Linked DNA regions of Arabidopsis thaliana. The protein of the gene in region 1 binds, or shares a complex with, the protein of each later gene. Each region holds a gene or a part of one and is shown in the gene's direction. Other genes may lie near its edges. The genes, in order: TOC33, TOC159, TOC75-IV and TOC132.

What was found.
Region 2: TOC33 (region 1) and TOC159 share a complex: the UniProt entries of both Arabidopsis thaliana proteins name them as parts of the TOC core complex.
Region 3: TOC33 (region 1) and TOC75-IV share a complex: the UniProt entries of both Arabidopsis thaliana proteins name them as parts of the TOC core complex.
Region 4: TOC33 (region 1) and TOC132 share a complex: the UniProt entries of both Arabidopsis thaliana proteins name them as parts of the TOC core complex.

What each region holds. Positions count from the first base shown.
Region 1 is NC_003070.9:446,853-452,959, reverse strand, and holds TOC33 (translocon at the outer envelope membrane of chloroplasts 33), read left to right. Parts: upstream 1-2,533; 5' UTR 2,534-2,599; intron 2,600-2,701; 5' UTR 2,702-2,713; coding exon 2,714-2,809; intron 2,810-2,913; coding exon 2,914-3,021; intron 3,022-3,121; coding exon 3,122-3,246; intron 3,247-3,470; coding exon 3,471-3,735; intron 3,736-3,836; coding exon 3,837-3,905; intron 3,906-3,986; coding exon 3,987-4,148; intron 4,149-4,226; coding exon 4,227-4,295; 3' UTR 4,296-4,537; downstream 4,538-6,107. Other genes in the region: AT1G02290 (uncharacterized protein), read left to right, coding at 983-2,314. UniProt on the Arabidopsis thaliana protein: GTPase involved in protein precursor import into chloroplasts. Seems to recognize chloroplast-destined precursor proteins and regulate their presentation to the translocation channel through GTP hydrolysis. Binds GTP, GDP, XTP, but not ATP.
Region 2 is NC_003075.7:1,102,706-1,112,298, forward strand, and holds TOC159 (translocon at the outer envelope membrane of chloroplasts 159), read left to right. Parts: upstream 1-1,860; 5' UTR 1,861-2,060; coding exon 2,061-2,124; intron 2,125-2,207; coding exon 2,208-6,655; 3' UTR 6,656-6,994; exon of another isoform or gene 6,995-7,061; 3' UTR 7,062-7,098; exon of another isoform or gene 7,099-7,270; 3' UTR 7,271-7,432; intron 7,433-7,575; 3' UTR 7,576-7,660; exon of another isoform or gene 7,661-7,960; 3' UTR 7,961-7,967; coding exon of another isoform or gene 7,968-8,407; intron 8,408-8,480; 3' UTR 8,481-8,518; coding exon of another isoform or gene 8,519-8,567; 3' UTR 8,568-8,676; coding exon of another isoform or gene 8,677-8,826; 3' UTR 8,827-9,079; downstream 9,080-9,593. Other genes in the region: XT2 (UDP-xylosyltransferase 2), read left to right, coding at 266-640; GSTF2 (glutathione S-transferase PHI 2), read right to left, coding at 7,968-8,407, 8,519-8,567, 8,677-8,826. UniProt on the Arabidopsis thaliana protein: GTPase involved in protein precursor import into chloroplasts. Seems to recognize chloroplast-destined precursor proteins and regulate their presentation to the translocation channel through GTP hydrolysis. Required for chloroplast biogenesis.
Region 3 is NC_003075.7:5,802,675-5,808,588, forward strand, and holds TOC75-IV (Outer membrane OMP85 family protein), read left to right. Parts: upstream 1-1,714; 5' UTR 1,715-1,743; coding exon 1,744-1,920; intron 1,921-1,967; exon of another isoform or gene 1,968-2,019; coding exon 2,020-2,130; intron 2,131-2,222; coding exon 2,223-2,414; intron 2,415-2,489; coding exon 2,490-2,738; intron 2,739-2,814; coding exon 2,815-3,069; intron 3,070-3,179; coding exon 3,180-3,419; 3' UTR 3,420-3,681; downstream 3,682-5,914. Other genes in the region: AT4G09070 (TATA-binding related factor (TRF) of subunit 20 of Mediator complex), read left to right, coding at 1-158, 485-718; AT4G09090 (Carbohydrate-binding X8 domain superfamily protein), read right to left, coding at 4,646-4,996. UniProt on the Arabidopsis thaliana protein: Mediates the insertion of proteins targeted to the outer membrane of chloroplasts. Required for the import of protein precursors into chloroplasts.
Region 4 is NC_003071.7:7,209,953-7,218,448, reverse strand, and holds TOC132 (multimeric translocon complex in the outer envelope membrane 132), read left to right. Parts: upstream 1-2,831; 5' UTR 2,832-2,969; exon of another isoform or gene 2,970-3,322; 5' UTR 3,323-3,339; coding exon 3,340-6,960; 3' UTR 6,961-7,055; intron 7,056-7,169; 3' UTR 7,170-7,390; downstream 7,391-8,496. Other genes in the region: PRORP2 (proteinaceous RNase P 2), read left to right, coding at 388-1,374, 1,544-1,645, 1,744-1,922, 2,021-2,141, 2,244-2,312, 2,384-2,512; AT2G16630 (Pollen Ole e 1 allergen and extensin family protein), read right to left, coding at 7,577-7,919, 8,351-8,496. UniProt on the Arabidopsis thaliana protein: GTPase involved in protein precursor import into chloroplasts. Seems to recognize chloroplast-destined precursor proteins and regulate their presentation to the translocation channel through GTP hydrolysis.

The sequences.
Region 1 (6,107 bases):
TAATAATATCAGGATATTATACTTACCTGCAAGGTGATTCTTTTATTAAAGTTTACATGGGCCTATACGTTTCCAGGCCCAAACTATTTGTGAAGTAATGTCTAACTTGATTATAAATCACAATTTAAAAATGATTATTAATTAAAGTAATCAAGGCATTAGTTACTTTAGGCGGCTTTAATTAAAGAAATCAAAATACAAGTGTAACAGTAATTAGTCTCTCTAGTCTCTACTCTACTGTCGCATCGATCGAAAAGCCATAGAAATCTCTAGAAAGGAAGCAGAGAATCTTTGAAGGCGATGAAGTTCGTATCTGTAGCCAAAGGGATATGGTTTCTTCGACCCTAATCTGCTAATTTCACCTGTCTTTAGAGCCGGTAAGCTCCTCGTCTTTTACGCTTTCCGATCGATTTCTCTGAATATCTCGAGATTCTTTTTTTTTATTAGTTCCGGTAGGTTTTTGAAACTCATTGGAGCTGATTTGTGCTGAGATTTGTATGATACTTGTTTTTTATTCAAATTGTCTGCACATTTTTGTTGTCAAATCCAAGGGTTTTCGCTCTCTAGTTATTTGCCTTGTTGGAGCTTTTGATTTTGGTTATTGATTGAGTTCGCGATCGATTACGTTTAAGCTTTGTAGCTGATCCGATCTGGGAGATTTTCTGGTGTTGTGTATCTTCTTCTTTTTGAGTGCTTCATTGATCTCACAATGTATATTTCGTGTTTTATATAGCCTTTAGTGTTGTTGTTGCTGAAATCAGTGAGTAAAATGCTATTTATGTTCGTTTGATTTCTGATTAGTAACATACTCAGCTTCTCGCTGTCCATTGTATTGTAGTAGAATTCTTGTAATGTGAATTGCTGATGATGAGTCTTTAACATTTTCTATCTAGGTATCTCCTGCTTGTGTTCCTTTCTACTGAGTTTGTGGTTGGAGATTTGAAGTACTTGTGTTTTAAGGGTAGTAAGTGGTTAACTACAGATGAATAAGAATCAAACAGTTGGGCTAGACTCTGAAGATGATGACTCTGATGATTACGACATTGCGCAAGTAAACTGTGAGCTAGCTTTGGTTGAAGGTCAGCTCTGTAACATACCATACGAGCTCTACGATCTACCAGATTTAACGGGAATATTGTCTGTTGAGACTTGGAACTCACTTCTGACTGAAGAAGAAAGATTCTTCCTCTCATGTTTTCTGCCAGATATGGATCCACAGACTTTCAGTTTGACGATGCAGGAACTTCTTGATGGTGCCAATTTATATTTTGGGAATCCAGAGGATAAGTTTTACAAGAATTTGCTAGGTGGATTGTTTACTCCAAAGGTAGCTTGTTTCAAAGAAGGTGTTATGTTTGTCAAGAGGAGAAAGTATTACTACTCTTTAAAGTTCTATCATGAAAAGCTGATCAGGACATTTACCGAAATGCAAAGGGTGTGGGTTCAGTATGGAAATAAATTGGGCAATTACTCAAGGCTCCTCATTTGGTCAGGACGAACTCAAACCGGTAATCTCAAGCTACTGGACCTCAATAGAGTTCCATCTAAGGAAATGGATAGTGCTACATGTAGATTCAAAACTCCCAATGTAGTGAAACCCGTGGAAAGAAATAGATCGAAAAGTTTAACCTTCCCTCGCAGTGGCAGCTCCAAGAACAGTCTCAAGATAAAGATAACCAAGGAAGGAGTATTCCGGTATCAAGGTTCCAGCTTAGTTTCTGCTGGCCATCATCATCAGACTTTGCCAAAGGGTGTTCTCAAATTAGTCCCTAAATCTTCTTCTGCCATCCTCAGGAAACCCTATGTAGCTCCAGGAAACAATCTCCTGCAAATCCATGAAACCGGTTCAAAGAGTACTAGATTTGCAGCGTCTCCATACTTAGGTACGACATTTGAGAAACCACCCTACGGAACTCTTGGCTGTTCTATCCCAGACCCTTTCTTAACCTATTTGGAAACTACACAAAGATCAATCCAAGGTACAGAACCGGTGTTTCATGATCCAACACACACTGTTCCCAGTGCTCTCCGTGTTTCAAATTACTCCATCACAGAACAGAATATACCTCTAAAGCAAGAAGAATATGTCCGGTACCACCTGAAGTCTCCTGGTTTTAAGCCTAGGACTGTTGACAGAGGCTCTGAAACAACAGAGAGCAAGAGGATTTCGTCTAGTAATAACTTTCAGAGGGAAGCCAAGGCTCTGAGAAAACCGCTGGGGGTCCTGAGCGAAGACAATCATGCTCGAGAAGCCAATAGTGACCATTTGTTTTCCTTGACTTACAAGCGAAGAAAGGTTCAGAGAATCGCTTGAGCTCCCGTGACGCTATGCTAATTCAATGTTCCACCTAATGTAGTCTTCCATGAAAATATGAAGTGTAATGCTGCAACTTGGTAACTGGATTTGGTTTGGGGTTGAGTTTGTTAGTTTTCAAAATTTGAAGGCACTAAAAAGAAACACTAAAGAAATAGAGGAGTAAAAGTGAAAATAATTTGAACTATTAAACAAATTACCGATAAGGTCACATTCTTTAGCTTTTCTCTGCGGAACACATCGAGAGAGCTTCTTCCAAAAACCTCAAACGCTCCTCACACAACGGTAAGCTCCTCCAAATCTCCCAAAACGTTATCGCTTTCGAAATTAATTATCATCATCGTCATCACTCAGCGATTATTTACCAAAAGAATTTTTTTGCTGAAGGGTTTAGGAGTGATGGGGTCTCTCGTTCGTGAATGGGTTGGGTTTCAGCAATTTCCAGCAGCTACCCAGGAAAAGCTGATTGAATTCTTCGGAAAATTGAAGCAAAAGGTGTGTTTTGTTGTTGTTGTTCCTGTTTCTTTGGTGCTTAAGTCGGTTTCTCGGATTCTCCGTTGTGATTAGGAGATAATGATGGGAGGTTTTTGTAATTGCAGGATATGAACTCAATGACAGTTCTTGTTCTGGGTAAAGGCGGTGTCGGAAAATCATCCACTGTCAATTCTCTTATCGGCGAACAAGTCGTCCGTGTCAGTCCTTTCCAAGTACGTAATTCAGTTTCCCTAAGCTTGATTTTTTTAATTTGGATTAAGAAAGAGTAGTCATTTCAAGATATTTGATGGCTCTGTTTTGTTGATTTTGTAGGCTGAAGGATTGAGACCAGTGATGGTTTCAAGAACAATGGGAGGGTTCACTATCAACATTATTGACACCCCTGGACTTGTGGAAGCTGGATATGTCAATCACCAAGCTCTCGAGTTAATCAAAGGGTCAGTAGCTACTCTTTTGGAATATCTCTTCGTTGATTGTTGCATATAGGATTATCTCATTCGTTTTTGAATTAATTAAGCTAAGTATATATGTGGTTAACATGTTTACTTGTGGGTTTCTGTTGAAATTGTGAATTATGAGTATCTGGTTTACGCTGAAGCTGTATATTGGAGTGTGTGTGGAAGTTTTACGATAGTTGTTGTGTTTCTCGGATTTTGGACAGGTTTCTTGTGAACAGAACAATAGATGTCTTGCTCTATGTTGATCGTTTGGATGTGTATAGAGTCGATGAGCTAGATAAGCAAGTTGTTATAGCAATCACCCAAACCTTTGGAAAAGAGATATGGTGCAAAACCTTGCTTGTTCTGACTCATGCTCAATTTTCCCCTCCCGATGAACTTTCCTACGAAACTTTTTCCTCCAAGAGATCAGATTCTCTCCTCAAAACTATCCGGGCTGGTTCTAAGATGCGAAAACAAGAGTTTGAGGTATGGTTATTTATACATATACCTGTCTCCGAAAATTGTTATACCAATGTATGTTTGGTTCATTGTAGCAAGAATCAGTTTCATTCTTTACTGGCTTGTAGGATTCTGCAATCGCGGTAGTCTATGCAGAGAACAGCGGAAGATGCAGCAAGAACGATAAGGACGAAAAGGTTTGTGTTTTCGAATCTCTGATTTGATCCGACTTGGAGAGAGACTGACTGTTAAAAGTTGCTTACCTGCTCTCGGTTCAGGCTCTTCCAAATGGTGAAGCGTGGATCCCGAACTTGGTTAAGGCGATAACTGATGTAGCAACAAACCAGAGGAAAGCAATTCATGTAGACAAGAAGATGGTAGATGGATCTTACTCTGATGATAAAGGAAAGAAACTCATCCCTCTTATCATAGGCGCTCAGGTAAGAAAGAGACACAGTTTGATTTATTGTCTTGTTCGAATTTGGTAAACAAGTGAAATCCTTTCTTCTACTTTGCAGTATTTGATCGTTAAGATGATTCAAGGAGCAATCAGAAATGATATCAAGACAAGTGGAAAGCCACTTTAAGAGGCTCTGAAGAAGAGGTTTTGTTGTGAGCAAATTACAAGGAGAAGAAGAGTTTTTCGATTGTTCTTTCTTTTGTTAGATTTTATCTGCAACATTTTCTTGTTTCCGGCTTTATCTTTGTCTGTAATTTATGGAGATTTGTTCAAAGAAAAGATTGCCATGCTTTCTGGTTAAATGAAATGGATGTTTCCCAATCATAATATCACCAAAAAAAGAATATATTATGTTCTGTAGATAAGAAAAACAAATGATCTGCTAAAGTCTGTTTTGAATCAAACAAGTCTTTTAGCTGATGGGATTAATTGTTTGCATCCTCGGGTGATTACATAAACACAGATCAACAGAAAACTCGGCATAACCAAGGCCGCTTCTATCTCCCACAGGAAGACTAGCATTGGTAGCCTGATGTCAATGTCTGTTAGATCATCAATCACTGCTGCTTCTGTTCCATTATAAACAGTTTATTGAGAATTGGTTCGGAATCATCATCATATCCATCTCTTATTTCCTAATACTAATAGACATGAGTGTTTGTTTGTAACAGAGGTTTAAGAAATAGATCGTCCCGGTCCCACATAATCTAACAAACTTACCGTTTAGATTAGATAATCACCATCAGATCTCACAGTTGCAATATGATGAAAATAGACGGTCCAGATTTCTCGAACGTTCTCAAATAAGAAAAAGGAAACAACTGTTGAAGATAAAAGGAAAGTAGGAAACAATCGAAATTTGGATATGGTAATAGTCATTTTGACATGTGCAATCTTTTTAATATGTTGTAGTACCTGAAAGAAGCTGGATGGGCTCAAGGAGACCGAGTTTTTGCTTGTACCAGCCAAGACCTTTAGCTGTCCCGATTTGTTTTTGGATCATATCACAAGCTGCTGCATGAGGTATTGCTTTCTTCATTTACTTTTTTTTTTAGTAATTGATTGAAAGATTTTTTCAACCATGTTTTGTTTTTTTTGTAAGTACTAAATTTTTAATTTTTGTGACATAACATCCAAACAGAACGTGCCAAAAAAATTTGATACCATACGCGAAAATATGATTTAATATTTTAATAAATATTATAAACATAACAAAAAAAATAATTAATATTTAAAGTTTAATAATAAATTAAGCAAATTTTAAGCAAAACATAAATAATTTAGAACAAAAATATGACCAAAAACGATTAGGTTGATTATAATGTGTAAACTAGTAAAATGTGCTAGTGTCGTTATTATGTTATCAATCAAACGGTATAATGCATGTTGTTAACAAAACAAAACATAGTTTTATTGACTTCTCAAAAATGACCTTTGAAATAATTACGACAAAGAATATTTTTATTTTTTTACTAACCTTTCTATTATCGAACTCTTTCGTTGTAAAAATGTCTCTTGTCGCCGGTAGTGTCAAGAAGACGGACCTTTGAAATACTTCTCAAAAAAGACCTTTGAAATATTCAAAGGTATAGCAGGTGGCGAGATAGCCTGGCTTGTGAGAGAGGAGCTTTCCGTCTTCTTTGTTATGTGTATATTTTAATAAATAATTTTTTTGTTATGTTTACATTATTTATTAAAATATTAAACTATATTTTTTTGTTTATAGCATCAAAATTCATTGGCACGACTCTGATGACGAGACACCAAATATCCATATAATGGTGTTGCAGTTGCTTCGTTGGAAAGACGATAATCAACCTCCGGCCAAGATAATCTTCATATCAAACTCGCTCAGTATCTATCACTTCTCTTGGTTTTTTGCTTAAAATCCGCTCAGTATCTGATGAATATTATAAAATTTCTTCATTGAATTTTGGGG
Region 2 (9,593 bases), on another chromosome or scaffold:
TTTGATGTGGAAAAAAAAAAAAACTAAATTTGGAAACTTGTGGTTTGCTTGTTGTGGTTTATCATGTCTCTTGAACATCAAAAATAACAATGTGAGTTGCTTTTTGTGGTTTATCATGTCTCTTGATCATCAAAAATGACAATGTGAGTTGCATCTTGTGGTTTCTGACATCTGTGTAAGGGTCTATTATTGAAGTAAACTCAAATCTTTGCTTGGTTTGGATTTTGTTGAGCTACTCATTTGAGCCACTGCATTGTTGTTATAGGTGTACCTAGAAAGTGGATACTATCTTCACGGTTACTGGGGGATTCTTGTGGACAGATATGAAGAAATGATAGAAAACTACCACCCGGGTCTAGGAGATCACAGATGGCCATTGGTGACTCACTTTGTCGGTTGCAAACCGTGTGGGAAATTTGGTGATTACCCGGTGGAACGGTGTCTAAAACAAATGGACAGAGCCTTTAACTTTGGAGATAACCAGATTCTGCAAATCTATGGTTTCACTCACAAATCTTTGGCTAGTCGTAAAGTCAAGAGAGTGCGGAACGAGACTAGCAATCCGTTGGAGATGAAAGACGAGCTCGGGTTGCTTCATCCGGCGTTTAAGGCGGTTAAGGTACAAACCAATCAAGTTTGAATCGGTTTTGCGTTTAGGATTTGTGTTATGTTTCTCGCTATATTTATGTCTTGTGTCTTTGCTTGTTGTTGTACTAAGATGGATGATAAAGTATTGTGCAGAGACATCAGTTAATTCTTTGGTTTTACTTTGTCTCTACGTCTAGAGTTCTATTACGAAATCAAAATGTTGTTTTTCTTCCTTTTTGTTCTTTGTAATCCATTAGAACTTGAGATTTTGTAGCTTCATGGATCAATAATCTGTGTTAATTCAAGAACTTTTTTTTAACCTGATTTCACATTCAACTAATTATTTACTTTTAGTATGCAAAATGTGAAAAAATCACATTGAGTTAGTATAGTTCTGAGATCATATTCACAAGTTTTGTGTAGTTTAGGAGTTTAATTCGAAAAACAAAATTTGGCATGTGGTCAGATTCTTTTGCAGTATGGGTTGTTGTATCTGAAATCTGAATGTCTTTAATTGATAATAAAATCATGTATACGGGCTATTATTAGGGGGAGGCCTTATAAAAGCCCATCTGAAAACTAAAATCACGGCCTAATATATGGAATCCGTGTTATACAAAAATCCAAGATAATTCGTAGATAATGGTGAGAAAATCGTTTGTGGCCAAGCAATTTCGGGTAGGGAGGATCAACAAAGATACAAAAAAGATTTCTTTCTTCTTTATAAAACCCAAATCTCAAAATGTTATCTCGTTTTTTATTTTAAATGTTTTATTTTATTTTGTTGTTGTGTGGTTTTTTTGGTTTTTAGTAAAGAGAAGATATAACAAAACCCTAATTCTCATGAGTTCAAAAACCCTAGATTTAGTGAGCCCATCAAAACATTTTCCATTGGGGAAGATTTTAACATTTGGAGAATTGTGCATAATAAAAACAAAATATTAAACAGTAAATACTTTCCAAAAAGTGACTAAAATATTCTAAATTTACTCAACAAAAATTGAAAATTCTTGACAAAAAAATTACTGTTTTTTAAAATGATACAATGTTTTTCAAATTTTAACCACAAATGATTATTGTACTTCTTCCTCAAATAAAAAAAGAAACTCTATATATTTTGGCTTGAGCCAATGAAGCGACACAGTTTAAAGCGTAGCACAAAAGAGAGCCCTCTTGGAAACTTCACCAACATAGAAGCGAGGGTAATTCGGTAATTTCATCATCATCCTCAAAACACAAACTGAGAAGATAAAATCCCAAGGCAAAGAAGAAAAACGAAGAGTCATTTTTTGTTCGCCGAGTGACCTTATCTCTCCCAATTCTCTCTTCTTCAAAAGAGAGAGAGCAGCCAAATTCTCAATCATAAAAACCTTCACACAAAAAAGGGTAAATTCCTTTAAACCCTATCTATCTATCGCTATCTCCTTCCTCCACAAGTTTGGCGGAGAAAGAGTCTCAGTAGCAAAGCGGAAATGGACTCAAAGTCGGTTACTCCAGAACCAACCAACCCCTTCTACGCTTCTTCGGGGCAATCAGGTTTTTCTTCTTTCTCGTTTATATCTTCTTTAATCTGCGTTTTTGGGAATAGGGTTTTAATCGGAAGGATATTTTGTTATCAGGAAAAACCTATGCTTCTGTTGTCGCCGCCGCTGCTGCTGCAGCCGCCGATAAGGAGGATGGTGGTGCTGTGAGTAGTGCCAAGGAGTTGGATTCCTCATCGGAGGCTGTGTCTGGTAATTCGGATAAGGTTGGAGCTGATGATTTATCTGACTCCGAGAAGGAGAAGCCGAATTTGGTGGGTGATGGGAAGGTTTCCGACGAGGTGGATGGTTCTTTAAAGGAGGATTCTACTACTCCTGAGGCTACTCCGAAGCCTGAGGTGGTTTCTGGTGAGACAATTGGTGTAGATGATGTTTCATCGTTATCTCCGAAGCCGGAGGCTGTTTCTGATGGTGTAGGGGTTGTGGAGGAGAATAAGAAGGTTAAGGAGGACGTGGAGGATATTAAAGACGATGGTGAGAGTAAGATTGAAAATGGGAGTGTTGATGTTGATGTGAAACAGGCTTCCACAGATGGGGAGAGTGAGAGTAAAGTGAAGGATGTGGAAGAAGAAGATGTTGGAACAAAAAAAGATGATGAGGGGGAGAGTGAGTTGGGTGGAAAAGTTGATGTTGACGATAAAAGTGATAATGTTATTGAAGAAGAGGGTGTGGAGTTAACTGATAAAGGAGACGTCATTGTGAACTCGTCCCCTGTAGAATCAGTGCATGTTGATGTGGCAAAACCAGGGGTGGTTGTTGTAGGAGACGCAGAGGGAAGTGAGGAGTTGAAGATTAATGCTGATGCTGAAACTCTTGAAGTGGCTAATAAGTTTGATCAAATTGGGGATGATGATAGTGGTGAATTTGAACCTGTGTCTGACAAGGCCATTGAGGAGGTAGAAGAAAAATTTACTAGCGAATCAGACTCTATTGCAGACTCCTCTAAGTTAGAATCTGTGGATACCAGTGCTGTAGAGCCAGAGGTTGTAGCTGCCGAGAGTGGGAGTGAACCAAAGGATGTGGAAAAAGCCAACGGATTGGAGAAGGGTATGACTTATGCTGAAGTAATCAAGGCAGCTAGTGCAGTAGCTGACAATGGAACCAAAGAGGAGGAGAGTGTGCTCGGTGGCATAGTCGATGATGCAGAAGAAGGTGTTAAGTTAAACAACAAAGGAGACTTTGTGGTGGACTCATCTGCTATTGAAGCTGTGAATGTAGATGTGGCAAAGCCAGGGGTTGTTGTTGTTGGAGACGTAGAGGTGAGTGAGGTGCTGGAAACTGATGGCAACATCCCTGATGTGCATAATAAGTTTGATCCAATTGGCCAAGGTGAAGGTGGTGAAGTTGAACTTGAATCCGATAAAGCCACAGAGGAGGGAGGAGGAAAGTTGGTTAGTGAAGGAGACTCTATGGTTGACTCCTCTGTGGTGGACTCTGTTGATGCTGATATCAATGTTGCAGAGCCAGGGGTTGTGGTTGTCGGGGCGGCTAAGGAGGCTGTAATTAAGGAAGATGATAAAGATGATGAGGTTGACAAGACCATCTCAAATATTGAGGAACCTGATGACCTGACTGCTGCATATGATGGAAATTTTGAATTGGCTGTTAAGGAAATATCAGAGGCTGCCAAAGTAGAGCCAGACGAACCAAAAGTAGGTGTGGAAGTAGAAGAATTGCCTGTTTCTGAAAGTTTAAAAGTGGGTTCAGTTGATGCAGAAGAGGATTCAATTCCTGCAGCTGAGTCACAGTTTGAGGTTCGGAAAGTTGTCGAAGGGGACAGTGCTGAAGAGGATGAAAACAAGCTCCCAGTCGAAGACATTGTTTCTTCTCGTGAGTTTAGCTTTGGAGGCAAGGAAGTGGACCAGGAACCTTCTGGCGAAGGTGTTACCAGGGTTGATGGGTCTGAAAGTGAAGAAGAAACTGAAGAGATGATATTTGGGAGTTCTGAAGCTGCAAAACAGTTCTTAGCAGAGTTGGAAAAGGCTTCTTCTGGTATAGAGGCACATTCTGATGAAGCAAACATTTCTAACAATATGTCAGATAGGATTGATGGCCAGATTGTCACCGATTCTGACGAGGATGTAGACACAGAGGATGAAGGTGAGGAGAAAATGTTTGATACTGCAGCTTTGGCTGCGCTTTTGAAGGCAGCCACTGGTGGTGGAAGTTCAGAAGGTGGCAATTTTACCATAACATCTCAGGATGGCACGAAGCTTTTCTCTATGGATCGACCTGCTGGTTTGAGTTCATCGTTAAGGCCCTTGAAGCCTGCAGCAGCTCCACGTGCAAACCGTTCCAACATCTTTTCCAATTCTAATGTCACAATGGCAGATGAGACTGAGATTAACTTGAGCGAGGAAGAGAAACAGAAATTAGAAAAGTTGCAAAGCCTCCGTGTGAAGTTTTTGCGGCTTTTGCAAAGGTTGGGTCATTCGGCAGAAGATTCAATTGCAGCGCAGGTTCTTTACCGTCTTGCACTACTTGCTGGGAGACAAGCAGGGCAGTTATTCAGTCTTGATGCTGCAAAGAAGAAGGCTGTGGAGTCTGAGGCTGAGGGCAACGAAGAATTGATCTTCTCCCTAAACATACTGGTCCTTGGAAAAGCCGGGGTGGGAAAAAGTGCTACTATAAATTCCATTTTGGGAAACCAGATTGCGTCCATTGATGCTTTTGGGCTCTCAACCACTTCGGTTAGAGAAATTTCTGGAACGGTGAATGGTGTCAAGATTACCTTTATTGATACTCCGGGTTTGAAGTCTGCTGCGATGGATCAAAGTACAAATGCAAAAATGTTGTCCTCTGTAAAGAAGGTAATGAAGAAGTGTCCCCCTGATATTGTACTATATGTAGATCGTCTTGACACCCAGACCAGGGACTTGAACAATTTGCCCTTGCTAAGGACGATTACTGCTTCTCTTGGTACATCCATATGGAAAAACGCTATAGTGACATTGACCCATGCGGCTTCTGCCCCTCCTGATGGCCCATCTGGCACCCCATTGAGCTATGATGTGTTTGTAGCGCAGTGCTCACATATTGTGCAACAGTCTATAGGACAGGCTGTTGGAGATCTACGCTTGATGAATCCAAGTCTGATGAATCCAGTTTCACTTGTTGAGAATCACCCCTTGTGTAGGAAGAACCGGGAGGGAGTGAAGGTTCTCCCGAATGGCCAAACTTGGAGATCTCAGCTGTTGCTATTGTGTTACTCCCTGAAGGTTTTGTCAGAAACAAATTCTCTATTGAGGCCTCAAGAACCATTGGACCATCGTAAAGTATTTGGTTTCCGAGTTAGATCCCCGCCTCTCCCTTACTTGTTGTCTTGGCTGTTGCAGTCCCGTGCACATCCTAAGCTCCCTGGAGACCAAGGTGGTGATAGTGTTGACTCTGATATCGAAATTGATGATGTGTCTGATTCTGAGCAGGAAGATGGGGAAGATGATGAGTATGACCAGCTGCCACCATTTAAGCCTCTTCGAAAAACCCAACTTGCAAAGCTCTCAAATGAACAGAGAAAGGCATATTTCGAGGAGTATGATTACCGTGTAAAGCTCCTGCAGAAGAAGCAATGGAGAGAGGAATTAAAGAGGATGAAAGAAATGAAGAAAAACGGGAAGAAGCTGGGTGAAAGTGAGTTTGGTTATCCGGGAGAAGAAGATGATCCAGAAAACGGGGCTCCAGCTGCAGTGCCAGTTCCATTACCCGATATGGTTTTGCCACCTTCATTTGATAGTGATAACTCAGCTTACCGATACCGATATCTGGAACCCACTTCACAACTCCTAACCAGGCCAGTGTTGGATACCCATGGTTGGGACCATGACTGTGGATATGACGGCGTCAATGCAGAACACAGTCTTGCTCTAGCTAGCCGGTTCCCTGCCACAGCTACTGTCCAAGTCACCAAGGACAAGAAAGAGTTCAACATTCATCTGGACTCCTCTGTGTCTGCTAAGCACGGGGAGAATGGATCCACCATGGCAGGGTTCGATATTCAGAATGTAGGCAAGCAGCTGGCATATGTGGTCAGAGGAGAAACCAAATTCAAGAATTTGAGGAAGAACAAGACAACTGTTGGAGGGTCAGTGACATTCTTGGGAGAGAACATCGCCACTGGGGTCAAACTCGAGGACCAAATAGCACTGGGGAAAAGGTTGGTGCTTGTGGGCAGCACTGGGACAATGCGATCACAGGGAGATTCGGCCTATGGTGCGAACCTCGAGGTCAGGCTTAGGGAAGCTGATTTCCCAATTGGACAGGACCAATCTTCTTTTGGGCTGTCTCTGGTAAAGTGGAGAGGCGATTTAGCCCTTGGAGCCAATCTCCAATCTCAAGTCTCTGTTGGAAGGAACTCAAAGATTGCGCTTCGTGCAGGACTTAACAACAAGATGAGCGGACAGATCACAGTCAGAACCAGCAGCTCGGATCAGTTGCAAATCGCTCTCACAGCCATTCTTCCAATTGCCATGTCCATCTACAAGAGCATTCGACCCGAAGCGACGAACGACAAGTACAGCATGTACTAAATATGCTGATGAATGCTGCAGAATGATCTTTTCTTTTATTACTGGTTTTTAGTTCATGTTTTTCCCCCACTTTAATAAAAACTTTGTTGAAGTTTATCAAAGTTGTATTTTGGTTCTGTTGAGAGGTTCCCATCGGATTTAATTTATCATGTATCAGTAATTCTTCACTTTCATTAGCCCTTCTCAGCTTCTCTTGCTGTTCTTCAGATAATGGAATCTAGTTCAGTCTTCTTTTGGTCTACGTCTCATGCTAATGATGTTGCTTGGTTTGAGTTTGCTAATTTGTTACTAAATTTCTGCAGAAGATACAAATCACTCGGTGAAGAATCTTTAAAGCAGGTGCGTAGCCTGTAACTGTTGATAAGATTTTGTACTAGAACCCTCATCTCATTGTGTTCTTCACCAGGATCTTACTGTTCTTCCTTGGTCCCTTGAAGGCAATGGTATGTTTTTTATAAAAATGCTTTGTAATAGATTTTCATTCTTATATAATATCTGGAAACTATTGGAGTATCGTGGTGAAGTAAACTTGATGATACTAGCAGACAAAACTCCGAATAAAGGATATTTCTTGGTGGACTTAATCTTTATGGTTTATGTGAATATTTGATGTAGCAAAGCCTCTAACTTAAAGGATGACCAGAGTCTGCAAATATATGGCTGGCTTTACTCGCAATTCTTTGGGTAGCCACAAAGTCATCAGAGTAATGAGACGAGCAAACAGTTGGAGATAAACACTAGGTGGACTTTCTTCACCCTGCGTTTACGGCGGTCAAGGTACAAAATTGATGGTGAAAAACACAAACTTGCTGCTCTAACCGTTTCTGTTATTTATAGAGAGGTGAATAGGTCCAGAAATCTGATGTGTTTTGTTTTGTCTGATTTGAAGCTTACGTCTATATTTTACTTGTCATTTTCAGACATGACAAAGCAAGGAAACTTTAAGGATAAGAACGTTCAAAGTCTTCTTAAGTCAACTTCTTTCGCCAGGAGAAACGTTCCAAAGTAAGATTTCCACCAGACTAAAGTCCTTACATACTATTCTCACTAGTCAGTATCTCCATAGTTAAGACATCGCAATCTTTGCATTAGTTAACTAATTGATTTATTTTAGAATAGCTTGAAGATTAGATAAATAGTTTTTGCCAAAGATACTCTCAAGAGCATACACACACACTCACATAACTGAAAGAAAACAGAGGATACAACAGAAAGAAAGTACTGAGAAATTGGGCAATGAGAAAGCCGCTTATTTAATCTTAGCATTATTACTGTGACTGAAGCAAAACCATATTTTCCTTTTAGAAATTTCTCACTGAACCTTCTCGGAAGCTGGCCTCTTGGTGATTTCAGCCACCCACTCATTGACACGTGGACGCTCGGTGAAGAGCTTCTTGGTGGGAGTTCCGAGCAGGTATTGAATCGCGGGAATGTGGTGAAGATCAGTCAAAGTGAAAGTTTCACCAGCCAAATACTTGAACTCCTTGAGCCTAGCCTCGTAGACATCAAGGACCTTGGCTAACTTAGCCTCCTCTTCTGCAACAACGGCTTCGTCTGTGGTCAAGCCGTAGATGGACTTGAATATTTGTTCAAAAGCAAGCTTTGAAGCCACTGGGTCGAACTGGTGATCTTCTACTTGCATTCCAATGGCCATGATTGCGTACTGAGATATGTTCTTGGAGTCGGTTTGGAGAAGGTTGGTTCCTTGGTTTTCATATCGGTGAGCTATGTACTGAGTAATCGCTCTTGATTCTACACAAAATAAAAATAAAAAAATCCAATTCTTATTAGTGATTTTGCTCTCTAATGGCTTTTGTCAACTCAGAGTTGAGATTGAAGATGATGCATGGAAAAGGTTCATACCGAAGAGCTTGAGGTCTCCATCTTCAAAGGCTGGAACCTGACCAAAAGGCTGAAGAGGAAAGAAGTTCAAACACAAAACATTTGAGATGCAGGCCAGATACATGAAAACAGTTGGTCTCTTGTCTTACAACAACACATAGATATATAGATATACTTACGTTGCGGGAGAGGAAAGGCTCCTTCTTGTGCTCACCGTCTTTGAGTTCGACATGAACGAGCTCAAAGTCGAGGTTTTTCTCGTGGAGGGCGATGAGGACTCTCCTGGTGGCAATGGAAGCTGGGTGTCCGAAAACTTTGATACCTGCCATTGATTTGGGTTACTAAGAAACTCTTTGAAGACTGAGAAAAAAGAGAGAAAAGAGGAAGAAATGTGATGTTTGATGTTGAAGGTGAAGGTGATGAAATAAGACACAAGTAATGAAGGTATTTATACAGAAGCATTTCTACTTTCTCATTAATGTTTAATATTATCTAACAGATAATAATGCCTCTACAAGGCCATCGCAACCAATATTGACTAGTCTTCTTCTTCTGGGAGGATTTTTCAAAGCTGAATTGGACTGTTTAACGTTTAAATATTTGCTTTTACATTGGTTATGTAATGGTTTTTAATAAAGTATTCAATGTATCAGAGAAAAGATCATAACTAGTGCGTAGTAATAGGCCAAATGACTCAAACTTCCACCTACTAGCTTCATCTAGTAGCTTTCCCCCTTCTTGGTTATGACTGGTTCGGTTTTGTTTCGGGGATTTTGTGATGCTCTATATCTGTATGCCTTCTCAAGTTAAAAGGGTTTCTCTTAATGTGAGATTCAATAGAACAAAGGTTTACTGATCAGATCTTTTTGAATTAGTTTCAGATAAATAACCAAAGAAGTTTTGGTATGGTTTCTTGGTTCCTTTTGGTGTGGTGGAATTCGATGGAAAAATCAACCTTGTTGATATTGATGCATAGTAAGTATGAACAAAATGTATAAAGGTAAATAATAACCAAAGAAGTTAAGAAAGTGAATGATGATTATTCAAAGGATTATTTGGAGAAAAAAAAGACCCTCTTTGACAAATCTGTTGGAAA
Region 3 (5,914 bases), on another chromosome or scaffold:
ATTCTTCAATTCAAATGATCATGGAGAGCCTTCAGTCTTACAAATGCAAACTCTCGTTTTACTTTGAAGGGCTTGAGTATCAACTTGGGGATTTTCGTTTGAGAGTTGGTAAAGTTGTTCCTACTCATGCTGAGACCATTAGAGGCGTAGTCATGGAGGTAACAAATTTTATATCTTTTGAGTACGTTGAGATATATTAATAATCAATGTTAATGATTATCTAACACTCTAGTTAATTCATAATTTGGAGTTTGTAATGTAACTCAGTAACTAAAGGTTATTAGCTATGATTGGTAACACACATAATGACGGTTTCTAATGTGATTAGGCAGAAAATTTGTCAATTAAGAAAATTTGCATAATCTACGGTTTTCCATGCAACAAGTTTTCATTATACGAATTTTTAGTGCTATCAACTTATGCCATTATGCTATTATGCACTACTTTCATTTGAAACCTATAATTATGTGTGTGTACTATTTAGGTGGAGTATCTTCCTATATCATCAATGGGAATGGCAAAAAAATTGATGGAGGAGTTCTTGGAGATATGGCAAGAAGCTATGTCGAAAAGGTCGTTGCCGGGTAAGTTTGTGAACAAAGAACTCAACTTTGAAAAGTTTGGACTTGGAGACAACTACACTCCGCAACATACCGCTGTTGGATATGCTTTCTTCATGGCTAATTTGATGGCAGCAATTCAAGCTGGGAGAGGCTAAAGATAATACAACAAAGACTTTTATGAGTTTTTGTGGTATCATTGATTTTAGAAGTCATTAAGGATTGAAAAACAAATGGTAGTTTTAAAAAGTTGGAAGACCAATTTGTAAACTTGAGATTGGAGCAGATTGTGAATTCAGTTTCTTACCAACTTTTTGGTTTGTTTTATGACTGTGAAAACTTTATGAATCTTTTGACCCTAAACTCAATTACTGGTCACTTGTGTCTATAAAATGCATAAATAAAGCGAAAATGTTGGATTACGATTGGGCTTAGTGTTAGTTATTTGGGTCAGTCATTGAGTTGGGCTTAAGGCCCATAAATGAGAAGAATCCCAAATGCAGAATCAAAACGCAAAGAAGTTTTGGCGGTTGCGATTGCATGTTTTCTTCCAAACAGAGCTTACCGGTAGTAACAAACAATATAGAGAGAAAGAAGTGTGAGAGCTACAAGTTTGAAGAAATCGAGTAGAGAGAGAGACAGATCTAGATTCTTCTTCTTCTTCGTCTTCTTCGTCAACCTCTAGAAGACTCGTGTAGGTACGTAGCTTTGAATCTCTTCTTCTGTAACCTGAAATTTTGTTAATTCCTCTTGAGAGTGAAGCATTATCGAGTTTGATCTTCGAGAAATTGTACATAAATCGCTTGTTTCTCTCGTGTTCTTTCTTTGTACTGATTTCAAAACTTGAATCGCAAAGAACAAGCGATAAGATCAAAATCAACTACCAAAATCACTACAGAGAGCTATTTTTCTTTGGATTTTGGTTTTAAACATGTGTTTGATTACGATTCCAGACTGAAATTTGTATCTGAGTCAGTGGATTTTTTGGTGTTGCCTTGTTGATTCGTTCACGTTGTAGTAGTAGATTTCAGAATTTTGCTTTCGTTGCTTTGAGTTTAGCTTAGGATTTGGCTTTTAACAGAGTTTCTATTTGAGTAGAATTGTAAAATAGAATTTGATGTCTGCCAAGTGTTTGATGAAATTCCTCTGAGAAATGAACCTTAAGTTATTCTAGTGTGTATTAATGGATTTCTTCTTTGTTGTTCAGGTTATTGTGATGGAAGCTGTGAAGGAAGCTGTGAGGAAGATTAAGTCCTTAGTCATACCACATGCAGATGAGAAAGATAATGGTATTGTTTTTGAGATCAAGCTTAATGAGACAGATCAGAGAGTAGAAAAGTGGGGTCTTGATCCTTCTTTGGTATGTATTGTCTTCTACTAAACTTGGCAACTTTTTTATGTTATAAGAGTTTTCTATTGAATTTACTATGTCCTTCGTTTGATTATCTTGCATTATTAGGATTTTTTCGAGGTAACAGGGAACTGTAATTTGGGACGTCCAAATAGCGAGGGATCTAATCAGTCTCTCATGGGTTCTGTGACCATTAGGAACATCTTTAATCCTAAGCTGGTACACTTGTTTTTACATATGCTTCTGATACCTATCTAGTTTATTTTGTAGTTTGATATTTTGATCCTTTAATACGCTTGGTTTTCTCTTAGGATGATCTTTTGTCTAAGATTGAGTATGTACGGTTTCTGGAAGCTGTTAAAAAACCTAGAAACCGTACCTTCAAAACGAGCTTCTTCAATAGCAGAAAACTTAGCCCAGTGTTCACTGGAGGACCAGGCTATGAGGATCTAGTGCCTCCAATGTTTGTGGGTCGAGATTGTCTTAAAGCTACTATAACTGAGGTAACCAAGTCTCCTATATATATAGATAGTCAACTTGTAATCATCTCTCACAAGCACCTTTTTTTTCACGTCCAGAACTTAACCCGTCAGAGAGAACTCACATATGGAGTTATGTTTGAAGAGATAATAACCCGAGATGAAAACAGGCGAATCTCTGAAAATGGGCTCTTGTTATCGCCTGACGGTGGAATCAGTATTAATGGACCTCCAACAACTCTAAGTGGTACCGGTATTGACCACATTGCCACTCTACAAGCCAACATAACCCGAGACAACACCAAGCTAGTGAATGGGGCTGTTGTTGGAGAGAAGAATATCTTTCAGGTTTTGTATCAAATCCCTTGATGTTGGTGTTTTTAACTAAATTAGAGCTTTAATAGTGTACTAACACAAATCGCAGGTGGATCAAGGCTTAGGTATAGGAAATAATTTTCCGCTCTTCAACCGCCACCAACTATCATTAACAAGTTTCATTCAGCTGAAGCAAGTAGAAGAAGGATCCGATAAACCACAACCACCAGTTCTAGTCCTCCATGGTCGTTACGGTGGCTGCATAGGCGATCTTCCAAGCTATGATGTTTTTGCTCTTGGTGGACCTAACTCCGTTCGAGGATACAGCATGGGAGAACTTGGTGCAGCTAAAAACATTCTCGAGGTTAAATATAATTACGAAAAACATGCTTTTGTTTTGGTCTTTCAGTTTATAAAATCTGATAATGCTAATTGTATATAGCTTTTTTTTGGTATGTTGCTAATTGTATATAGCTTGGTGCTGAGATTAGAATTCCTGTCAAGAACACACATGTGTATGCATTTGCTGAGCATGGAAACGATTTGGGAAGTTCAAAGGATGTGAAAGGGAATCCAACAGGGCTTTACAGGAAAATGGGACATGGTTCATCGTATGGTTTGGGTGTGAAACTCGGTATGGTGCGAGCTGAATATACTGTACGTCACAATCGTGGAACCGGTGCTCTGTTTCTCAGGTTCGGGGAGAGATACTAAGGTCATGCCATGAAGACTTTGTGCTGCTTTCTTTCTTAACTCTAATACTTTGGTTTATAATCCTGATACTCTAGTTATGTAAATGCGTGCATAGCAAGTCATTGAGTTTAGGCATTTGTTTAAAGCGATAGAAGAGAATAAGAACAAGCCGTTTCATGTCTCTCGTCACGACAGTAAATGTTTAGTTAGATTTGTTTTTGACTTTGAAGAAGTCTGTTCACTGTAGACGTAGAACACGTACTACATTTACTCATGCCCTCTCTATTAACTTGTTGATTACGCAAAACGACTTTTCCGACACTTATGACCTAGTCCTTATTGGTCCACTCGCATTTCTCGGATGTTTATGTCCTCTCAATGGGATGTGACGGACCAATAAGGTTTATTGTATTACATCTGGCCGGTTTGTGAAACACCGTCATATATCCGAAATGGTAACTTGTATATATTTTTACTGTATATAGAAGGTTCCAGATTTTTACCACTTGTTTGCGTAACTCTCTAGCTATTAATGTATTAAAGATTTTATTTAACAAAATAAAACTCAAAAGTCACGAGTTCTAATGTCGAAGGTTAAAAATAAACAATTTTACATATGTTGTGATCTCTTTGTGAGTTTATCTATTTCTGATTTTAATGGTTGTTAGAATTGCTTAAAACGACCAGTACTGCAAGTTGATATCTATTAAACCTTTGATGAGCTTATTGTTCTGGAATTATCAAGGATTGGGGTGGTCTCATGTATTATCAACCGTCTAAAGGAAATGCATAAAATACAGTTTAGAAAGTTTTTATTTCAATGGAGACTAAATATAATAGAGACGTGATGGTAGATTTTCATGAGTGGTTAAGTTATGAACTTATGATGGTATATATTTGAGCCTCGTGGTTTGAGTGGTGAAAGAAATTTGTTCAGACTGAGTGGTCTTTATAAATATATTTATTTTTTGGGATTTTGAAGTGCAATTTGGATATGTCTCGTTTTTCATGTCTTATGTATACAATCAAATTAATTACGAATTGTATTCATCAATGGATGATTGTATTCACTAATGAATGATTGTAATCACCTATCATTTATTATGCATATTAGTTATTAAAACCAAATATATATTTTTAAGACACTACACACATTTATCAAAACTTGGATCCGTAAAAACAAATGTGAATGTAATCACATATCATTTATTGTGCATATCAGATATTGAAACCAAATATATATATTTTTAAGACACATACACACATTTACCAAAACTGAGATCGGTAACAGCAAATGTGCCAGTATTTTTGAAGCTACATGCCTTTTTGGTACGACCATGACTCTGATAATAAGCATTCATCACAAATGATGCATGATTTACAAGACTATTAGGGATATAACAGGATCCGCCTGGTTGAATTGGCCCACAATCAACTCCTTCACTACATCCAAAATTAATATTTCCTTGTAGTTGCGCATTCGTTGCGTTCATCTTTGCTACACACCATTTTGTGGAACTCGCCACATGGAGGTGGTTGATCATTATGGAAGATAGAATGATGAAAAGAAGTGCCAAAAGTGATGATATTTTGGCCATTTTTTTTAAATGACAATTCAATTGAGATTCAAGTAATTTTGTTTTTGGATGTCTATGTGAGTAAATGTATATGTGTCTTTATATATTACTAGATAGTATTTAGAAGATAGTTTATATGTTTTTATATACATAGATGTCTATAAAAAAAAGTTTAACCATATAAGAAGTCAAAGATTTTAAAAAACTTATGAAAATGAAAATATACATATATTATTAGAAATATATCTTTATAATTTGAAATGATATCTAAAACTTTTAACCACTAGATAGTAGAAAATCAAAGATATAAAAATATTTTGGAAGAAAGAAATATATCTTTATAATTAGAAATATATCTTTATAATTTGAAATGTATGATTATAGAAACAAAAAGATAACTTTATAACTTTGAAATTATATGTCTATGAAAAAGGTTCTATATATTAGAAAACCAAAGATTTAAAGATATTTAAGAAAATAGAAATATATGAGTAACATCTCAAATCCAAAGCTTGGTCAATGAGAGAGAGAGCGCTACTAAATCGTCAAAAGAGAATAAAGCTAGGAAAAATATATAAAGTTGGTTTGGGGGTTTGTCACGAATGAAAATAGAAAATTAAAAATGTAAACAAGAGAAAGAAACGCAAGAAAAAGTCAATAAAATGATTGTTGGGAATTCATGGATTTTGCAGGGGTATTGATGATCATTTCATTCAAAGAAATCTAAGATATGTAATAATTTATTCTATGTTCACAAACTAGAAACACAAATGAATAAAAGAGCTACCATTTGCAGAATCAATTATGTAAGGTCTAGATACACCATTACTCAACAAATCGCTGGACGACACATCTAGTCATGCGTTATAAGCAAGTAAATTCACATATACACTAAAACTAATGGGTATGTATTAGGGATATTGTCTCACATCAGAAGAT
Region 4 (8,496 bases), on another chromosome or scaffold:
GGTTCACCTTTTAAATCTATTCTGCTCAGTGAGTAGCCGCCGCCGTGGTCTTTGTCGAATTCGTGGTCTCTCCTCCACGCATCGACGTTACGCCACCATCTAATCTCTTTAAACCTCCGTCAGCTGGTTTATCTCGCCGGCCTCGTTTACTTCAAACAAGGTAAGGTCTTTCATCTTTGTTAAGGTTTTAGGAACTGAAACTGTTATTGGTTTTGAATTGGAATGAATACTCAGGAGAACTAGAATAGTTAGCCAATCCATAGCAACTCTATAATTTGTATGTTTCTGTTCACTTTTCAAGAAAAAGTTCATAATTTTTTTGATTCAGGGTTTAGGGTTTCATCTACCACTTTCTACCAATGCAAAGCTTGTAACTTTGAGGTATACATGGCTGCTTCTGATCAACACCGGTCTCGCCGTCACGACGAGAGCTCTTCAAGACCCAACAAGAAGAAGAAGGTAAGCAGAAACCCAGAAACAAATCTCCTCTTCAATCTCAATTCATGCTCCAAGTCCAAGGACCTCTCAGCTGCATTAGCACTTTATGATGCAGCCATCACTTCCAGTGAAGTACGTCTCAGCCAGCAACATTTTCAAACGCTTCTGTACCTATGCTCAGCTTCCATTACTGACATATCTCTTCAATACCTTGCCATTGACCGTGGTTTCGAGATTTTTGATCGTATGGTTAGTTCGGGGATAAGTCCTAATGAGGCATCTGTTACTTCAGTGGCTAGACTGGCTGCTGCTAAAGGTAATGGTGATTATGCTTTCAAGGTTGTTAAGGAGTTTGTTTCTGTTGGAGGTGTGTCGATTCCTCGTCTGAGGACATATGCGCCGGCTTTGCTCTGTTTCTGCGAGAAGTTGGAGGCTGAAAAGGGTTATGAGGTAGAAGAGCACATGGAAGCTGCAGGTATTGCATTGGAGGAGGCAGAGATATCGGCTTTGTTGAAGGTAAGTGCTGCCACGGGTCGAGAAAACAAGGTTTATAGATATTTACATAAGTTGAGGGAATATGTTGGCTGCGTTAGTGAAGAAACTTTGAAAATTATTGAGGAATGGTTCTGTGGAGAAAAAGCTGGTGAGGTTGGTGATAATGGAATTGGTTCTGATGTTGGGATGCTTAGAGAAGCTGTTTTGAATAATGGAGGTGGGTGGCACGGGCATGGGTGGGTTGGGGAGGGTAAATGGACTGTAAAGAAAGGTAATGTTAGCTCAACAGGAAGATGTTTGAGCTGCAGTGAGCAGTTAGCTTGTGTAGATACCAATGAGGTAGAAACACAGAAGTTTGTGGATTCTTTGGTGGCTTTGGCTATGGATAGGAAGACAAAGATGAATTCATGTGAGACAAATGTGGTCTTCAGCGAGTTTCAGGTTAGAGATGGGATTCTCTTAGCTTGGTTATAATAAGTCTTGGACATTAAATATTGCATGATAAGCATTTAGAGATAGGTACACTGGTTGGAGTTTTTGCTGCGAATTGTCATCAATCTTGAGTATTCAAATGTCGATATTTGTTGAATGTTGCTATCTTATTTGGCAGGACTGGCTTGAGAAACATGGAGATTACGAAGCTATAGTAGATGGAGCAAATATTGGGCTCTACCAACAAAATTTTGTAGATGGCAGTTTCAGTCTTTCACAGGTTCTCCCATCTTTTCTGGGGTACTTGTTTTTCTTCCTCCATATTTTTAGAATCCATTCCTTGCTATACTGATATCACATACATGTGGGATAGAGCAGCTTGAATCTGTGATGAAGGAACTTTACCGTGAAAGTGGTAATAACAAATGGCCCCTAATTCTATTGCACAAGAGACGGGTCAAGACGCTTTTAGAAAACCCAACTCACCGGAATCTGGTTGAAGAATGGATTAGTAACGGTGTCCTGTATGCAACTCCACCAGGTTCCAATGATGATTGGTATGAACTTTTAGCTTCTCTCAGCACCATTATTTCGACAAAAAACACAAACAATGTTTGGTTACTACACTCATCTTTTGTTTTTTTTACCTTTCCAGGTATTGGCTGTATGCTGCTGCTAAGCTCAAGTGTTTGCTTGTGACAAATGATGAGATGAGAGACCACATTTTTGAACTCTTAGGGAGTACTTTTTTCCAAAAGTGGAAAGAAAGACATCAGGTAAAGTTATATAAACTTATATACAATATGTAACTTTTTATACTAAAAGTGCAACTTTGAGAAGTCTACAATTAGAACATTTGGTTTATGGTTTTGGTACAGGTCCGGTATACTTTTGTGAAAGGTAACCTGAAGCTTGAAATGCCGTCTCCTTTTTCGGTTGTCATTCAGGTTTGTTTACCATCTCAGTCCTTTTTTTCTCCGGTTTCGATAGTTTCTCAATTACGTTTCGACAAAATCAGGAATCAGAGAAAGGGTCATGGCATTTCCCGGTCTCATGCGAAAACAATGAAGAGTCTTCAAGAACTTGGATGTGTATTAGCAGACAAAGTATTTTAGATTCACCTAAGAGTAATGGGAAGATTCCTTAGTAGCTGCACCAGCTTATTGAGTTCATGTATCATTTGTTATGAGTTTTCATTCTTTGTCCTTTGAAGATTAACACAAAAAACGTTCATTGGTTCTATAATAAGGGACTGAACTTTTCTCATTAGAAAGAACACAAAAAATTGTAGTAGACCAAACCGAATCAGACCGGGTTGGTTAAACCGAATTGACGCACGAGGGTTTTCTATTCCCTTTCACGGCTTCACTCACTCTACTTTATATAGTCCACGTCAGCATCATTTCACGATTGCATCAACGAGTCATTATCAACCGTACGATGCTTAAACCCAAACTGATCAGGACCGTTGATGAACGTCTCTTATCTCCTTCCCCGTCGTAGTCGCAGGCTCGCAGCCGGTAAAGCGCATGAAAGGATCTTCACACTTTTTCACCTTCTCTCTATTTCTCTCTCTCTCTCTCTCTCTCTATCTCTAACTTCTGGTAAGGCTTCTCTCCATTTCTCTTCTTCTTTCTTCGTCTTCTTTCTTCTGTTTTGGTTTTCGTTTCCTGTAATCAACAAAGTTCTTCTTCCATGTTTGGAGATCCCTATCACCGCTTAGACCTGTGTTTAAGCGATTTGGTTAACTTCAATTGAATTTTAGTTTCTGGAATTGGTAAGGGATAAGGATTCTAGGATTCGTGGTGATTAACTCTGATCTAGGTTTCTTTTAGCTGTGTGCTCGTTTTTTTTTTTTTTTGGTTGTTGGAATTTATATTGATGGTTAAAGCGTAGTTGGTAATTGGAGTGATTTCTGATCTCTGATTATTGTATTTGTGGCTTTTGTTTCCCGTAGCGGTGGTGATCTAGAAAATGGGAGATGGGACTGAGTTTGTGGTTAGGTCAGATAGGGAAGATAAGAAGCTTGCTGAGGATAGAATTAGTGATGAGCAAGTAGTGAAGAATGAGTTGGTGAGATCTGATGAAGTAAGGGATGATAACGAGGACGAGGTTTTTGAGGAAGCGATTGGTTCAGAGAATGATGAGCAGGAGGAGGAGGAGGATCCAAAACGTGAATTGTTTGAATCTGATGATTTGCCTTTAGTGGAAACTCTTAAAAGTTCTATGGTTGAGCATGAAGTGGAGGATTTTGAAGAGGCAGTGGGTGATTTGGATGAAACGAGTAGCAATGAAGGGGGTGTTAAAGATTTTACGGCTGTTGGAGAGAGCCATGGTGCGGGAGAGGCTGAATTTGATGTTTTGGCTACTAAAATGAATGGTGATAAGGGGGAAGGAGGTGGAGGTGGTTCTTATGATAAAGTTGAATCGAGCTTGGATGTTGTTGATACCACTGAGAATGCTACATCAACTAATACTAATGGTTCCAATTTAGCAGCTGAGCATGTGGGTATTGAAAACGGAAAGACTCATTCTTTTTTGGGAAATGGAATCGCCTCTCCTAAAAATAAAGAAGTGGTGGCTGAAGTTATCCCTAAAGATGATGGGATTGAGGAACCATGGAATGATGGCATTGAAGTCGATAATTGGGAGGAAAGAGTTGATGGCATACAGACAGAACAAGAGGTTGAGGAAGGTGAAGGAACAACTGAAAATCAATTTGAGAAACGGACAGAAGAAGAGGTTGTAGAAGGTGAAGGAACAAGTAAGAATCTATTTGAGAAACAGACAGAACAAGATGTTGTGGAAGGTGAAGGAACAAGTAAGGATCTATTTGAGAATGGTTCAGTATGTATGGACAGTGAGTCCGAGGCAGAAAGAAATGGTGAGACTGGTGCCGCCTACACAAGTAATATCGTTACTAATGCTTCAGGTGACAATGAAGTATCAAGTGCTGTGACTTCATCTCCATTGGAGGAATCTAGTTCCGGGGAAAAGGGAGAGACTGAAGGGGACAGTACTTGTTTAAAACCAGAGCAACACTTGGCTTCTTCGCCGCACTCATATCCTGAGTCAACTGAAGTTCACAGCAATAGTGGCTCCCCTGGGGTAACTAGTAGAGAACACAAACCAGTTCAAAGTGCTAATGGAGGACATGATGTTCAGAGTCCTCAACCAAATAAGGAGCTTGAGAAGCAGCAAAGCAGCAGAGTACATGTAGATCCAGAGATTACAGAAAATTCACATGTGGAAACAGAACCTGAGGTAGTAAGTTCTGTTTCACCAACAGAGTCTAGAAGTAATCCTGCGGCATTACCACCTGCTCGTCCAGCAGGTCTTGGTCGTGCTTCTCCTCTTTTGGAACCTGCATCACGTGCTCCTCAACAGTCTCGCGTCAATGGGAATGGGTCTCACAATCAGTTTCAGCAAGCTGAAGACTCTACCACTACAGAGGCTGATGAGCATGATGAGACCCGCGAGAAGCTCCAGTTGATCAGGGTAAAATTTTTGAGGCTTGCACATAGACTAGGGCAAACCCCGCATAATGTTGTTGTTGCTCAGGTTTTATACAGGCTTGGATTGGCTGAGCAGTTGAGGGGCAGAAATGGAAGCCGTGTTGGTGCTTTTAGTTTTGATCGCGCTAGTGCCATGGCAGAACAGCTTGAGGCTGCTGGACAGGATCCACTTGATTTTTCTTGTACGATTATGGTTCTCGGAAAAAGTGGGGTTGGTAAAAGTGCAACGATCAATTCTATATTTGATGAAGTGAAATTTTGTACTGATGCATTCCAGATGGGGACAAAGAGGGTTCAAGATGTTGAGGGTTTGGTTCAGGGAATTAAGGTACGGGTGATTGACACTCCCGGTCTCTTACCTTCCTGGTCTGATCAAGCCAAGAATGAGAAGATCCTGAATTCTGTTAAGGCTTTCATCAAGAAGAATCCACCTGACATTGTACTATATCTTGATAGGTTGGATATGCAAAGCAGAGATTCTGGTGACATGCCTCTCCTGCGCACCATAAGTGATGTTTTTGGTCCTTCGATATGGTTTAATGCCATTGTGGGTTTGACTCATGCCGCTTCTGTTCCACCAGATGGCCCAAATGGCACTGCTTCTAGCTATGATATGTTTGTTACACAACGTTCTCATGTCATCCAGCAGGCCATTCGCCAAGCAGCTGGAGATATGAGGCTCATGAACCCTGTTTCTTTAGTTGAGAATCACTCAGCTTGCAGGACTAATCGGGCAGGCCAGAGAGTATTACCGAATGGCCAAGTGTGGAAGCCACATTTGTTGCTACTCTCATTTGCATCTAAGATTCTAGCAGAAGCAAATGCTCTTTTGAAGTTGCAAGATAATATTCCAGGGAGACCATTTGCAGCTCGGTCCAAGGCTCCGCCATTACCATTTCTCCTTTCATCGCTTCTGCAATCAAGACCACAACCTAAGCTTCCTGAACAGCAGTATGGTGATGAAGAAGATGAAGATGATTTAGAAGAATCATCAGATTCAGACGAAGAATCAGAGTATGATCAGCTTCCTCCGTTTAAGAGTTTGACTAAAGCTCAGATGGCTACGCTTAGTAAATCTCAGAAGAAGCAGTATCTCGATGAAATGGAGTACCGAGAGAAACTTTTAATGAAGAAGCAAATGAAAGAGGAAAGAAAGAGACGTAAGATGTTTAAGAAATTTGCTGCAGAGATTAAAGATTTGCCTGATGGGTATAGTGAAAATGTGGAAGAGGAGAGTGGTGGACCTGCATCAGTTCCAGTTCCTATGCCAGATTTATCTCTACCTGCGTCTTTTGACTCTGATAACCCTACTCACCGCTACCGGTACCTTGATTCCTCCAATCAGTGGCTTGTTAGGCCAGTCCTGGAAACTCATGGGTGGGATCATGATATTGGTTATGAAGGTGTGAATGCAGAACGGCTCTTTGTTGTAAAAGAAAAAATACCAATATCTGTCTCAGGTCAAGTGACAAAAGACAAGAAGGATGCAAATGTGCAGCTAGAAATGGCCAGCTCGGTTAAACATGGAGAGGGTAAATCAACTTCCCTAGGTTTCGACATGCAAACTGTTGGAAAGGAATTGGCTTATACTCTTCGAAGCGAAACGAGATTTAACAATTTCAGGAGAAACAAGGCTGCAGCTGGTCTTTCTGTAACACACTTGGGTGATTCGGTTTCTGCGGGGTTGAAAGTCGAAGATAAGTTTATTGCTAGTAAATGGTTCAGAATCGTAATGTCTGGTGGAGCTATGACTAGTCGGGGAGATTTTGCTTATGGTGGTACTTTGGAAGCTCAGTTGAGAGATAAAGATTATCCGCTTGGTCGGTTTTTGACTACTCTTGGACTTTCTGTAATGGATTGGCACGGTGATCTTGCTATTGGAGGGAACATACAGTCTCAGGTTCCCATTGGACGTTCCTCTAATTTAATTGCTCGTGCTAATCTGAACAATAGAGGAGCAGGGCAAGTAAGTGTTCGTGTTAACAGCTCCGAGCAGCTCCAACTTGCTATGGTTGCGATTGTTCCTCTCTTCAAGAAGCTACTTAGTTATTATTACCCGCAAACGCAATATGGACAATGATTAAGAAACATTTAGGCTGATTTCACTTCCATCCCTTTGCACTGGAGTATTAGGAATCGATTAGTCACAAGAACATGTTAGAGTGAGTTGAAAAGGTACACAATCTGATCTCTATATCTTACTGTGATTACTGATTTCGATATTTTCGTTTTCTTGGAAACCCTCTTAATGGATTTTGCTGAGCGTTGATGTGCTTTGGTTTTGAACAGGATCTGTCTGGTAGCAAGAGACCAATTGTTGGAGGAAAGTTTGTGTCTTGAAATAGCCAGAACATAACACGTTCCTTGTCTGATATATAATAGCTCAGTGGTTTGTTTTTCTTCTATTTCTAAGACCTTGTGATCTCCCTTATGAATGAAGCATATCTACTTTTGTTCATGTCCCTCTCCAATCATTGATGCATTATATCATAACAACATTTAGTGCTCACAGTGCTAGAACGTTAGGCTTTGTAACAACTAAGTTTAATGCCGAGTATAAATAGGGATACAATAATAGTCCATAAATTCTCCAATGAATCCAGGTATAGACTTTTATAGTATTACAAAAGGACCCAAGAACAATGTAAAAGAGAAAGAAAGAGTGTAGAGTATATAAGTATTGAAAACACATTCAATCAATTGCAGACTGTGAATCTGCAGGTCCCGGAATTAGCCTTGATGAAACGAATAGCAGTCATGAGGACATCGTGTTCCGAATTCCCGAGGAGAGCCAGATTGGTATATGTGATCACAGCGACGGAATTATAAGGAAATCCTAGAGAGTTGTATGAATTGAGCAATGCAGTTGTTGCCTCTCTTAGAAGTGTCTTATAGGCTTCTCCTCGCCCGTCAAGCGCTTCTCGTACTGTCATATCTGTGCCGTATATTCTCCCGGCTACTAGCCCAAATGCAACTGCGACCTTTGTGTCTGGACCTATCGCCCTCCAGTAGCATCTGTACTCAGGTTTCATCCACAACCTATATCACAAAGCCACAATGTTAAAAATTATCTGAAACAAAGGTGTGCATAATAAACAGATATGAAAGTAAGACCGAACTAAGAACCAAGCTTAGCCTAACCAAACCGAATAAAGTCCAATAGTAAGATTATACTACCAAAAATCATATTTAGCTACTAAAGATATATAATATACATTATTTTCTTTGTAATTTTATCAATTTTAATTTAAAACAGAACCGAAATGTTAAGTAAACAACAATTTTCAAACCAACAAATAATTCGGTTTTAGTTGAAAAATCAAATTTAAAAACCAAAATACCGAAGCAGAATTTGAAGTACTATAAGGAACAAATATGAAAGCTCACTCATGGAGCCAAAAACCGAAAAAACCCGAAAATCTAGGCTTGTTTTGAAGTGAGTTAGGGAATGAATCCGAGAGAAAGCTCACTGGTGAGAACAAGCTGATGGCTCTACAAATGGCATTGGAGGGATTTGAGGCAATGGTGGAAGCTTAAACTGAGGAGGTGATGTAACTGGAGGAAGATTTATGACCGGGACCAGAGGAGGAGGCAATGTAGTTGGAGGATCAGGACT